Drosophila melanogaster: one gene and its partner. The protein of the gene in region 2 interacts with the protein of the main gene of each other region in a pairwise test. Each region holds a gene or a part of one and is shown on either strand. Other genes may lie near its edges.

Evidence for each region.
Region 1: the proteins of CG31510 (region 2) and zfh2 interact in a two-hybrid assay, tested with the Drosophila melanogaster proteins (one large-scale study listed by BioGRID).

Annotation. Positions count from the first base shown.
Region 1 is NC_004353.4:499,852-505,088, reverse strand, and holds the start of zfh2 (Zn finger homeodomain 2), read right to left. Parts: upstream 3,280-5,237; 5' UTR 3,232-3,279; intron 1,239-3,231; 5' UTR 951-1,238; intron 1-950.
Region 2 is NT_033777.3:25,116,849-25,124,748, forward strand, and holds CG31510 (uncharacterized protein), read right to left. Parts: upstream 6,073-7,900; 5' UTR 5,713-6,072; intron 4,299-5,712; 5' UTR 4,182-4,298; coding exon 729-4,181; 3' UTR 370-728; downstream 1-369. Other genes in the region: vig2, read left to right, coding at 6,551-6,631, 6,784-7,267, 7,742-7,900.

The DNA of each region.
Region 1 (5,237 bases), on a different chromosome or scaffold from region 2:
TTCGGCTCAGCTTATTTCGGTAAAGTTCAATTCGTTCGTTGAACCAACTCTCAAGACTCAAAGCACAAGGGACTAGTAATCCCCTTCCACCTCTCTGTGAGAGCTTCATCGTCATTGGCTAATTAGAAGTCTTTAAGTAATTAAAATGTTCCAATGGGTGACTTGACATGATGAACCAATAGCTATTATTTGGTGCGCTTATACGAAACACTAATTCCGCAGACAATAATGTTTGCAAATACTTGTTCGTTCTTAATTTGCAGCCTTTGCTGTTAAATACGAACTTATTTAATGATATTTAACTTACATATAGGCGTTCTTATTGCCTACACTATATGCAATTTTTCTCAGAAGTATGCAATGTAGTGAAGGTATATTCTTGATCAGCAAAAACAGCCGAGCTTATATAGTCAGTTTGCCTGCTTGTTCCTACGCCAAATACTCTCTCAGATTTAAGGCTATAAGCTATTAAAGCATTAACTTTTCCCGAAAATATTCTTTCTATTGTATTTAGTATATACGTAAATATGTCGAAACGAATCGGACTCATTAATAAAAAAAATGTCATAGAAATAAAATGGAAACAATATATATATTTTCTCATTAACCGTCATTGTTGATCTATAGTATTTGGGACTCAACATGAAAGGTGTAACCGAAAATTCATTGTGTTATGAGGTATTGCTGATTGTATAACTGAGGTAATGATGTCTTATAGACGGCTATGAGGGTATATATAGTCGATATACACGAATAATGAATACGTTCTTGTTTTATTCATATATAAAATAAGATTCGTAACTGGTTTGTACTTGAAAATAAAATACTATCGAGACATATTTTTTATCCATATCTTCTGGAGGCTATGATATGATTATTTGTATACAAAGGACCAATTTTGCGCATACAACTAGACAACATACCCTTACCAAATCTAATATTGTACTCACTTGAGGTCCTTATGAAAAGTTGAATCCTTAAGCCATTCGACGATTGAAATGAAGATCCTTCAAATAAGGGCGTTCGATTTCTCCTTGCTGTTTTTGTTTTTGCACTTATGTATGTTTGCGAGCGTTTAGACTTGGAGTAAGTTGGGTTATTAGCTAGTTCAATCGTGAATTACTTTAAGTTAGCGGCGATAGTTTGTACTATGTTATGTTTAACTTTAGGCTTAAATATTATAGGAACTTTTGAATCGAGCGCTCGTGGATTTGGGCGAGATAATTAGCCTGCGGCACCTAAAGAGTAATTTTGTGAACAATTTTATTATTATTTTCACCTGAAATATTTAGCTATTACAAGTTAGTGTTATACATTCGAATTGTGCAAAGTTCTTCAGACATTGGTATATTTTATATATAAATTATTGGTTACATATTTTACTGACCCTCAAATACGGTCTCTCTCAATAGGGTTTGCGGTTTTGATTTTGCATTTATGTGAAGCCATCAACTTGAGACAGGTGGTCAATAGACAGGATGTTAGGGAGAAGCCGGCAGGCAACAGCAAGGCTTAAAAAGAACCCAATTAAGTAAAAACCCTGATGTGCCAGTTTATGTACATATGTATACAGGTGTATGCGGGTGAAATTGCCGTGACCAGTGGCAGGTGACAGTCGAAAGGTGATCGACCCACAGCAGTCAGTTGGCAACACAAAAGTAGTTTTGCCAAGGACTTTACCACTTTATCACTGTACATACATATATGGCTCCAGTTTTTTGAAAGAATGATTGTACTAAAGACCAAATAAAAGAAATTCACAATGGCTTGAAAAGACATTAACTTTCACACAAAATCTTTTTTTTATATAGAACGAACGGGTGCTGAAAACTATGTTAAATGTCTTTTTTTCTTACACTTGTAATTATATCTGCAATGTGTGCAAATTTCAAGAGAGCAAATCGAGCGAATTGGATGAGTGCAAGGAGAGTGTGTTCGCGCGCGTTACGCCCCTTGATTTAATTTGCCAACTTCTTGGGATTTTGCATTTTAATATAAACACTTTTACTCCTAGTTGGCTGCTTATATCGCAAGCGAGACAGTTGTCTCTTTTTTATACACACATTTTCACACACGCACAGTCACAAGCACAATCACAAGTGGGAAGTTCTGCTTCCTTTCCCTCCCATCACTTGCCATCCGCCCACCCCAGTGCAGACACCGCGACGAAGAGGGGAGAGCTATCAAGACCAAGACAGAGACAGAAATAGACACACAGCGTTTTTGCATATACTTCTCTCGTGGACCACGTGCTCATTAAATCGCTGAAGGCAATTCATAGAGAACATCCAACAACCGACTAGCGCGGCACAGCACCCTTTCCTGTGCCTGTGGTGTGCTCTTTTCAGCTTCTTTCCTTCCTGCGACTTCCGTTCGCACACCCTCGTTGCTCTCAGCTCAAGGCAGCTCGGCTTTACTCGGCTGGGATCGTTTGGCACATAATGCAATTAAAAATAAAAAACTATTCCCGGACGGAATCCGTTTTCGATAGCTTCGATACATCAAACAAAATAGTGCAGGATTGTCCTCATTGGAAGTGGAATGAAACTCTGCTTTTGTCTACGGATTGAAGTTTTTGTTGCTAGGGACCAGAACTCCAATACCAATGCACCTCACACATAAGGATAAGGGTGAGTGTATTGTTTTCTGCTCGGAACTGCACCGTTAGCATGCACCCATATTTCCGACTGATTTAAACATGTAGCAGAAGCGAACTGAATATTTTACGAAGAAGTGCCGCAGAATTGTTCCGGCATGGTTGTTATTTACTCTAATCGAATGTATCCATTTGCAGGTATGGGCAGGAAGTTGGGCTGATCTCGCAATGCATTTTTTTGAAACTGGTCGAAAGGTTCACGGTGTTCTTCATTCTTGCCATTATAGGTTTTTTTTGTGATACTCTGTTCGACACAACGCAAAAGTAAAAAGTAAATATAAAACTCAAGTAGACGCCGTATAACAACGCGCACCCATATCGAACTTTACATAGATATCACTATTCGCAGAATTGGGATTGGGCTAGCAGTGAATGATTGATTACAGAGGTAACACATTTCAGATTGCAGTTAGTTTCACTCTTTGGTTGTTTTTTACTATGTCACTTTTTATGTTTTAGCGCATTTAACCAGCGAATAGTCACAGTCACATTTAGTCTCACAGTCACGCCAACGGCAAATATATCATAATGAAGATCTACAGCGAAACCGCATCTTTGAGAGCTCTAAAACTCACCATCCGACCCGCATCTGACTCATTCAACGTTTTTTTTCGACTGAGCTGAGAGGCAGGCTTACTTGTTTACTTGCTGGTTAATGCTCTCCGGGGCTCTCGAGCTCTGCTCTCCTCTTCTTTATTCTCCGAAAGTCCGACCGAGCCGAACAGAATCGAGTCATGCGTACAAATCAACATTCAAGAGAGACACTGAGAGACTTTGGGAGATTTCCGTAATGGGGTAATTATTGCCACGCAGAGTGGTAATTACGTTAGAGCGAGACGGGAGATGATGTGATAAAACGGTGTACCAATGTGCTTTATGCTTTCACAGCGAGCCTCTCTTTTCCTTATTTAATTTCTGCCTGTTGTTATGCATGTGTGTGTGCCTTTGTTTTGTGTGGGTGCAGCTTGGGCAATCATCTTTCATTATTTTTGTATTACTGCCGACGGATGTTAAAAGATCCAACACGGCAAGTTCCACATCCCATTGTCTGCAGAATGATCAGAAATATTATAGTAATTAAACTGGTACAAAACTATCACAATGTCTCTTTTGAACCGAAATACCTACAGGCAAGCATCGTGGACTCAACATTTAAAAGTAGATCCTTTGTTTTCCCAATAACTACTCAATATTTGTATTCGGAGATATCAAAAATATCTATAAATACAAAAATATATGTATAATATTATTCGTATCACATTGTCATTAAATAAAATTTTTTGAATGTGCAAACCGATTAAGCTTTTCCCAATATTATGTGTGTAATATTTTTTATGTTCGCTATAGTAGAATGTATGCGACCCGAGATGATCTTGAATATGCTTACTTACATATGTATTTAGGATCACTAGCAGAGCCGATCAGGCACGTCCGTTATGAATTATGAAACCTTGAGTTCTTTTTAACATTTTTCTGGACCAAAAGAGAATGTTTATACTTCCGCGACATGTCTTGCGTAAATATTGTACAATATTTGTAAAATATCATGCGTACATGCGTACTATTCCACCGGAATAGTCAAAAAATGCATGTTAAAATGTTTCTTCGTTGAACAAACCACTCGAATCATTAAAAAATAATTGAAAATTTTTTTTATGAAGAATTTTTTAAGCTTAAGAGTGCAAACGAGAAAGTTCAACATTTTTAGGACTATCGATAGAATCGATCAGAAAGACAAAATAAATCGAAAAGTTTGTGCATGGCAGTTTTGGGCATTAGAGTGGGCGTATTTATGATACGTCTCTGGAATGTATCTGGAATCTGAATGTTTAATAATCGAGGCGTTCATACGGACAGACGGATTCATACGGATCGAATCTAGTTATCCTGGTCAAGAATATATATATACTTTTAGGGTTTTTTTTCATCGAATCTGGTACCCTATTATAACTTTTGATCGATGCGTACATGCATGCATGCGCTGCATTCTTCTTTCTCTTTTATCTTTTACAGTTTCCGAGATATCGGTGTTAATACGGACAATCGGACCTTTTAAGTGATCCTGCGCTTATATATGCTTATAGGGTCAAGTTTCTACATCTACATCATTTAATCTTTTATTTATTAATTAAAATATTTTGTTGAAAGTGTGTTTGTAATATAATATATAAAAAATATAAAAAATATATTTTGCATATGCATTACATATGCGATGATATTAAATTTGTCATATGGGTTAATACACGGGTTAATATTTATTATAGAGTGGTGCAAATGTCCCGGTGTCGGTGGATCCTATCAACTACAAATCAGTCAGCTAGGGGAAAAGCGAACGGAAAATTTCAACAGTTTTTGGCATTGGGAAATAAAAAAAGAAAAATTTTAAATTGTTCAAAGGCATGGTCGCGACCGTTATGGGGAGAAATCAAAAAATAAAAATATATTTTTCAAAACTGTGGGCGTGGCAGTTTTGGGCGGTTTGTGGACGTTAGAGTGACCGTGGCAACAAGCTCGCACTGCGTCTATGTCTCTAGAAACTGTATATTTAATCTCAACCTTATTGCTTTTATAATCCCTAAGA
Region 2 (7,900 bases):
AACATTTTGGAAGTGCTAAGCACGGAGGGTTATCAATCGGAGTGTTCTTTGTCACTTTTCCATGGAGTAATTGAGTGTGTGCATCCATACCGCATGTTTGTCTGGAAGCTAGGATATTCTAGATTCACGACTAGGTTCTAGATCTATTGAACCTATTTAAACGGTGTAACATGCTAGTATGGCGTCCATCCTGATGTGCGGAATAAAGTGTACTTAGATGATCCATGCGCTGTTCGTTTGTGCTTACTATTCTATTATAAAATAATAGACCTCTCCACCAGACACACAGTTCTTATTAATCATCTTTCCATTTAAGTGGACATGACTTAAGAAAATGTGTTATCTGGTTTCCAGGTAATCAAATTTTTTAGGTTCCATATTATTTTATTCTTACATTTTCTGAATATACAATTTATTTTATGAAAATAATTTATATATTTACACGCAATCAAAAATTTATGCACTAAAATCTAAATATAAAAAGTTATCAATATTATATTTCAAAAACAATTAATTGATAACTAATTAATATATACTTAAACTAACTTCTTCCTTTTCTAAATTAATTAACAACAATTGGCTGCCGTTATAAAATCGATTTATTTACATTCCATTTCTCAAATGTTGTACAAATTTTTGAAGAATGTAGCTAATTCGAAAATGTAATACATTATTGTGGGTTTAATGTATGTTCTCTTTATCAATCTAACCGCATTACGAACTATCTATTAAAAATTATTATTCCTCCGGTTAAGGTTGTTATAAGATGGGTTCAAATTGGTGTTGAAGTTGAAGAGTGACGACGTTGTCAGATCGTTTCGCAAAACGCTGCTTGGGTTGATTGCCGGTAGTTTAGAGCCGAATTGACTATTATATCCGCCGGATCCGCCAAATCCACGATCAGTCGGATACGCGTTCGAAGTGAAGGGGTTAGCTAAGTTAGTGCTTTGTTGGTTGTTAAATCGAGCCACATTTCCGGAGTAGTTTTGACCAGTATACTCACTGGTCGGATTGTTGTTTAAATTTCTGGATGAATGTTGTGTCAACAAATTATCATTGTTATTGGAATTGGGAATCAAGTTAGTAGAAGTGCTGGGCACTGAATTCACGGAACTGGTTGAGAGTGGGATGTCCTGGCGTTTCTTCTGCTCAATCATCGTATATACCTGAAGTATCTTTTGAAGTTCCTCTCGGTTTATAGATGTTTTGCCTTGGGACACCAATGAAGAAGCCAGTTTTGCCGCAAGCTCAGTTTTATCTAATGGTTTATCGAGGTTATGCGGTAAGTTTTTGGCTATCTGCAACTCTGGTTTCTCAGCGAGCTGCTCTATATCTTTGGATTTGTTAAGTTTACTGGCACATTGAAGCAACCGTTCGGTGTCATTAATAGCTCTCTTCAAAGCCCTTTCTTTAGCGGGATCATAAATATGGGAGATCAAGAGACCAGTAAATTTTTCTTTAACGGTCTCCAAAATAGCACAGTTTTCGGCTGTTAAAATTGAAGTATGCAACTTTTGTGGACAAATCTTCTGCGATTGCAGAGCTTTTACTAGCATCTCGGTAACAAAAGGACCCAGACTTCCGAGATAATTCTCCAAAGCAGTTAAAAGACGAAGGACATGAATCACATTCGGCGGCTCCTCAACCGGAGTCTCTACATCAACAGACACTTTCTGCGGTTCAATGCTAGATTCCGGTCTGCGCTCATCATCGGGCTCATCAGTTTTGTCCAAATGAACGTGATACTTTTCGTCCTCCAATTCGTTATTGGTCATTGGCAGACATAGCCGTTCGCGACACTTTATTTTGATATTTTCAATATCTTGACTGTACAATTCTTCGATACGAGCATTAAAGAAATTAATCCATTCGTTTTGGAAGTTGTACGTGCGATGATTAATGCCAGCCAGTATAAGCTCATCCTTGCGGCGCTTCCAAAACATTTGCCACTCAGCTTGATAACTCGGATGCTGTTCGGGATCAGATTTGTATGTGTCGAAGGACACGTTTAGCTCACGCACCTTGAGATCTACCATGTGACGGTACGCCTGCCAAATGTCGCCATCGCGCAAAGGCGACACTGACCTACGCTCCACATTCCAGTGCCTTTTGGGGGCGACCCTCTTTCTTTGATCAGGTGATTTGGATCTTGAGCGGTTCCGCTTTGCGTTCCGGGACTTCTGTGCATCGCCCGAACCATGTCTGGTGTCCCTAAGAAAATTATCGACCATTCGCTTGTGAGTTTCATCATCAATAGGGGGTGCTGTATTATTTTGGGGCACATTCTGATAGCCCGCATACTGTGGTACGTATGGAGGGACGTAGTAAGGATTCGAATTTTCAACGTTTATCAAGGGCTGAACGTTGGTTCTAATCTTGTCGATCAACTCCTCCACCTCTTTAGCATCTACGACGTGGGTGAACAAAGGCCCAATCTTTTCAGACGAGTGCTTTCTATTGTATACCTGGGTGAACAAACTCTGGCGATCTTTCGAATAGACATGTTCATAGCACAGATGGGCGTTTTTTCGACCATGGTGCGTTTCAATGGCATGTGCAAGCTTATCAAAAATGGGCATCATTATTTTGCACACCTCGCTCTCCGGAACATGGGACACATACTGACGGTACAGACGCATTGCAGTGGGGAAATGCTTGTCAAAATACTTTAAACGGTGGTTATAGCCAAGCAAATGGTTGTGCATGGATTGCTCATCAGCAGTGATCTCGCAGAGGCAACATTGATATCTGGCATTGTTGTCAGCCAAGGTCTTAACTATTTTCAAAACGTACTCTACCCCAACGAGACCCATGACATGACCTTTCCTGGATTCAAATGTGCCACCAGGTCTAGCTGTTGTGTAATCCTTGGGTGCAACATATGAAGGCTTAACTACCTTATTGATAGTAGGGCGCACAGGTTGTGCAACAACATTGATTGGCTTCTTGGCCGCAATAACAGGCTTCGGGTTTGACGTTTGAACTGGAATGGGTTTTTTCGGTGTTTCTGGCGGTTTTGTAGCCTCTTTTGGCAAATCGTCAATGATTACGAGATCTTTCTCGCGCTCTGGTGTAGAGTTTATAAGCTTGGCTAGCGGAACACAAGATATTTTCGTGGCAAGCGGATTTTTGACTATATCTGGATCAGTCGTTTTGCTGCGAGCCAAGTCCGCGTTATTCGATTTAGCATTCTGCACAGCTTTCGTCGACTGTGGCTTTGATGGAGTCTGTGAGGGAATTTGAACAGTTGGCTTTGTTTGCTCTAATGGTTGCTTTTCAATCTGAACATTTACTGCTTGCTGAGAAGTAGTATTGCTCACAGTAGTTTTTGGAGCAGGACCTCCAGAATTCTGTGAAGTTTTCGCTGTATTCATTGCAGACTGTGGAGCCTTTTTATTAGCAGTGTTATTTGCGTTGGCCGCATTCACATTTGCCTTCTTGGCTTGAATATTTCCCGGGTTTGGGTTAGGTCTTTTCTTCGCGTTTGCGCCAATAATAGGAACACTCGTTTGTACGGGTGCATTATTCCCTGTGTTTTTCTTAACAGGCGTATTATTTACTGATGTATTCTTTTGATTGGGTGGACTGTTTTCTGGCACATTCTTTTGAATGTTTGTTGTGCTATTCTGAATATTTTTTTGAGTGTTTGGATTATTTACTACCTTAGGGGTAGCAGTGCTTTTCGTTTTACCGCCCATTGCAGGTTTTTTATTTTGCGTCGGCTGTGTTTTTGCAACTTCATTTCCAGCTGCCTGCTTAACAACGTTAGTGTTTGCATTATTATTTTGATTTGGTACATTTTTGTTTATAATTGGCAAATTTTTAACAGCAGGAGATTGACTGTTTTTGTTATTATTCGCATTGGTGTTAGGGCCCTTTTTTGTGGGTGGAGCTACACTGGGCTTGTTTCTTATTTGCAATTGCTCTTTGAGTTTCATTACGGCAATATGTTTTTTACCACTAAGGTGGCTAAACAAATTTTTGTCGCCGAACTGAACAACACGGCAAATATTACAATTGTATTTCCGAAGCGGGTATGAGGGGGTTACCAATGTTTCCCATTTGCTAGTTGGATTGTTACGGAATTCAAGTTGTAATATTTCCTCCAATGATATTTTTGACAACATATCAAGAAATTTGGTCCCATCCATGGGTTTGTTTTCAATGTTTTTGGTATTCATTTTGTGGTTGTAATACCTTTAAACATTAAACAGTTTTCATGTGGCTCGGAGAAAGTTAATTTTTCTTTCGGTTTTGATACAAATTTGATTTTTCTTTTGATTTCAGATATTGAGATGCTATAAAATTGAAGGAAAAAATGTTTTTTATATAGAATTTAAGCAGTAATAACAAAAAGTTAGTCTTACTCTATTAAGCTGATTTTCTATTGATCTACGAAATCAGTAAATACTAAATTTCTTAGACTACGGCATACAGTTCAAATTAGAAAAGTCGGTAAAAATTTAGGAATATGCGATTACATTTATAGGAATTATACAGTCCTGGCCTTTCATGACGTCTATTTCTTTCGGCAATACAATTATATGACTACATGCGCTAAAATTATGACCCAGCAAAAGAGGACTATGCCATAACTAGTGGAACTTATTGAAATACAATGTCAGCTCCTTAACTCGGTTATGAAAAGCATTGAACTTAATTGAAGCGTTATGTAGTCAAAAAGCAGGGTTTCTGTTGCCTTTGCTTGAATTTAGCATACTATGCGGGTAAAACAAAAATATAAATGTCGCATATTAAAAAGTTAATATTTTCTTTTTTAGATCAGCAAATAGATGCTTTTTAAAATTCATTCGATATGGTAAACTCGCATCTTGACTCCACTTTCATAAAAAGTTGAAATCGATAATGATGTTAAATTACTCATATATAGTAAATCAGCTTTGTATTTGTAATTAAATACACATTCTTTAAAAAGTACCTGTCCAAAGGGCATAATTCTTGCTGATGCCTGAGATTAGTCAACTGCTTTTTTTGCAGAACAAGCCCCTTTTTTTGCTGAGTAGAAGGTTTTATGTGAATGTATCCTTCTTTTACAGCCGGAAATCCAAGATCCATGCTACATTTCTACCAAGTGTATGAAATGTTTCACATCACTTGTTTCCATTTGTGATACGCTACCATATAAGGAACATACCTACTGAGGGTGCAAAAGTAACAGTTAGGCCAGACGTTATCTATGAGAAGGGGTAGAACCACCCCTGGAAAACTCGGATAAAAACCAAAAGTCGACATATGCATAAAAGCAATAGGAGCCGCATTGCCTGACCGAATATGATAATATTGTCGATTTCTGCGCGACACAGCTCCAAAAAAGGTAGAACAAAAAAGTCCGTAAATGACATCACGATATTTTTGGCAAGTTTTTAAAGCAAATTGGTTTTCTCACTTAAAAACTTTCAAAAACATGCCTGCCAAAGCCAGTTTTGCGCAGCTGAAGAGGTCAAGGTAAAATCCATTTAGAGAACAGTAAAATCCCCAAGCTCCAAAAAAAAAAAAAACAAACAAACGAAATTCACAAGAACTGCATATAGCAGGCGAAGATATTGATTTTTTTGTTTATGCATGTCCCGCGTTCACATGAGGAAATGGGGAAACCAACTGAAACACACACACTTAGACTTAGCCTTATGAATAACTTATGAATATTATCGAAATGGATATGTGTGGATTGTATCTTATTTGAGGACTCACCGGCGAAACGCAAACGCGGCCCTCTAACCACTTGCAAATACTTGGGGGCCCGTTGGACGTAAATGTGGATGGGGGCTATTGGGTGCTCGATATCCCTCTCCTCTTCGTCGCTTCCAATATTCCAATTCGATGACAGTCGCTGCTTCGCTCGTCTGCTCTCTCGCGGTTCGGTACGCAATGGCCACAATTCACGATGGACTCGCTTTCAATTACAAGGATAATTTGCCTTTACTTAAATTTATTACTTGCATCAGGCCGAAGAGGACAGAGAATTTCGATGGCAACGCATCAAAGAAACAAATGTCACATTTGTCTCTACGGGCCCAAAAGTTGTTCTCCTTCTGGCGATGGGCCGACTGCTAGAGCTGGTAGTGACCTCTACCTGCAATCGATTAATCGATTGAGTACATTTCGGTATTATTTATGAAATGGAAATTTAAATATAATGTGAAATTTTTTGATATAGAGTGAATTATTATAAATATGGAAATCAATAATTACCATTCACATTTTACGTTATTTCAAAACAATCGATAATTACCATTATTCTGTACAGTTGCTCGTTACTCACCATTTGGTATCTATCGGTTAAACATTTATAATAATATTTGGTTATATTAATAAAATTGCAACACCTTCAAAATAGTTTAAATTTGTTATACATTTTTAAGGTATAACTTTTCCTAAATTATTGTAAATATACATATATGGTTTATTTAAGGCTGTAAATTATCAAATCCCTTTTCAAAAACCAACCATTGTTCAGAAAATATAAATTATATATTTTAATTTTTACAGATATATACTGATATTGAACCGGCAACTATCGATTGTCGAAATGCAATTAGCGGAGAAACATATCGTGGCCCTTATGTTTCCTGCAATCGATGTTTCTACCTTCACTTTCGTTTCCGGCGTGGTGCGTAAGTTGCTCCGCGTTTTCGCAATTTTAAGCGATTATCACTTTGTTTGAACTCTAGGCCGGCCATGTGCCTATAAGTTAACAGCAAAGCATATCGTCGCCATTGGGACCAAAGTAACTCTCAAATCTGGTTCAATTTTAATCCGTAGAAATTTTACATCATGGACAATTCTGGAAATAACCGCTACGAGCTGTTGTTCATGGACGACGATGACTCCTCTGGGCTCGCACAGCCACAGATTGCCGCTGTAGTCGCGGCGCCCAAGAAGCCGGAACCGGCAAAGGCGCCAAAGGCACCAAAGAGCAAGTCGGAGAAGGAGAACAAGCCGGTTGTGGCTGCCCGCAAGGCCAACGCTCCGGTGGCTAAAAACGCTAGTCCAGTGAAAGGCGGCAAGGGTCCCGCTGGCGGGGATGTGGGTCGTCCCAAGAACCCAACAGCAAACGGTGCCAACAACCAGGGCAGGTTCAACAACAACCAACGCTACGGAAATAAGGAGTCGAACGGAGAATTCGGAAACGAGTTGCCGCAGCGTCAATTCAACAATCGTGACAACAGGGGACCACCACGCGTCCGTACCGGCGAGAAGTTCGGAAAGCGCGAGTTCGATCGCCAGTCGGGATCCGATAGAACTGGTAATTATGTCTAGATTCTTCTGTCCTTGGTTTTCGTGTTTGCTTCTCAAGTGAATCCGTTTTTTCTGCGTGGAAAATGCTGCCCTGTAATGGCGGCATGCTGCAAAATATAGAGAAAACGCAACCCTTGGCAACAAGATTGATTACATATCGCGTATTTCTCACGTGACTTTTAGGCATTTGTAATACGCAAAACGTTTGAAAACGTGTTTGTAAATATTAATTTTAAATGATGAAATAATGAAATTACTGCGTTGCAAACTCGTGTGTTCACACATGTGTTTTCTTGGACATTTTTTTGTTTGATTTTTTTGATTTTTGATCTTATAATTTATTAATTTATTAATTCGTTACCGAAAATATAAAATTCGTTTGGTTAAACTTTTAATTTGTCTTATACGGCAAACATTTTCCCGAAAATCCTCTTTACTCATATCGATTGAAGCCTATTAATAGCTGATTTATTCTCCACAGGCGTCAAGTCAATTGACAAGCGCGAAGGCGGTGGTGCCCACAACTGGGGCTCCCCGAAGCAGGACATTGAGGACTTAAAGACGACCGGGGAGACCTCACCGCAGGCGGAAAAGGAGGACTCGGCCAACGAACAGTCGGCTGATCCCGCGGTCGCCGCCG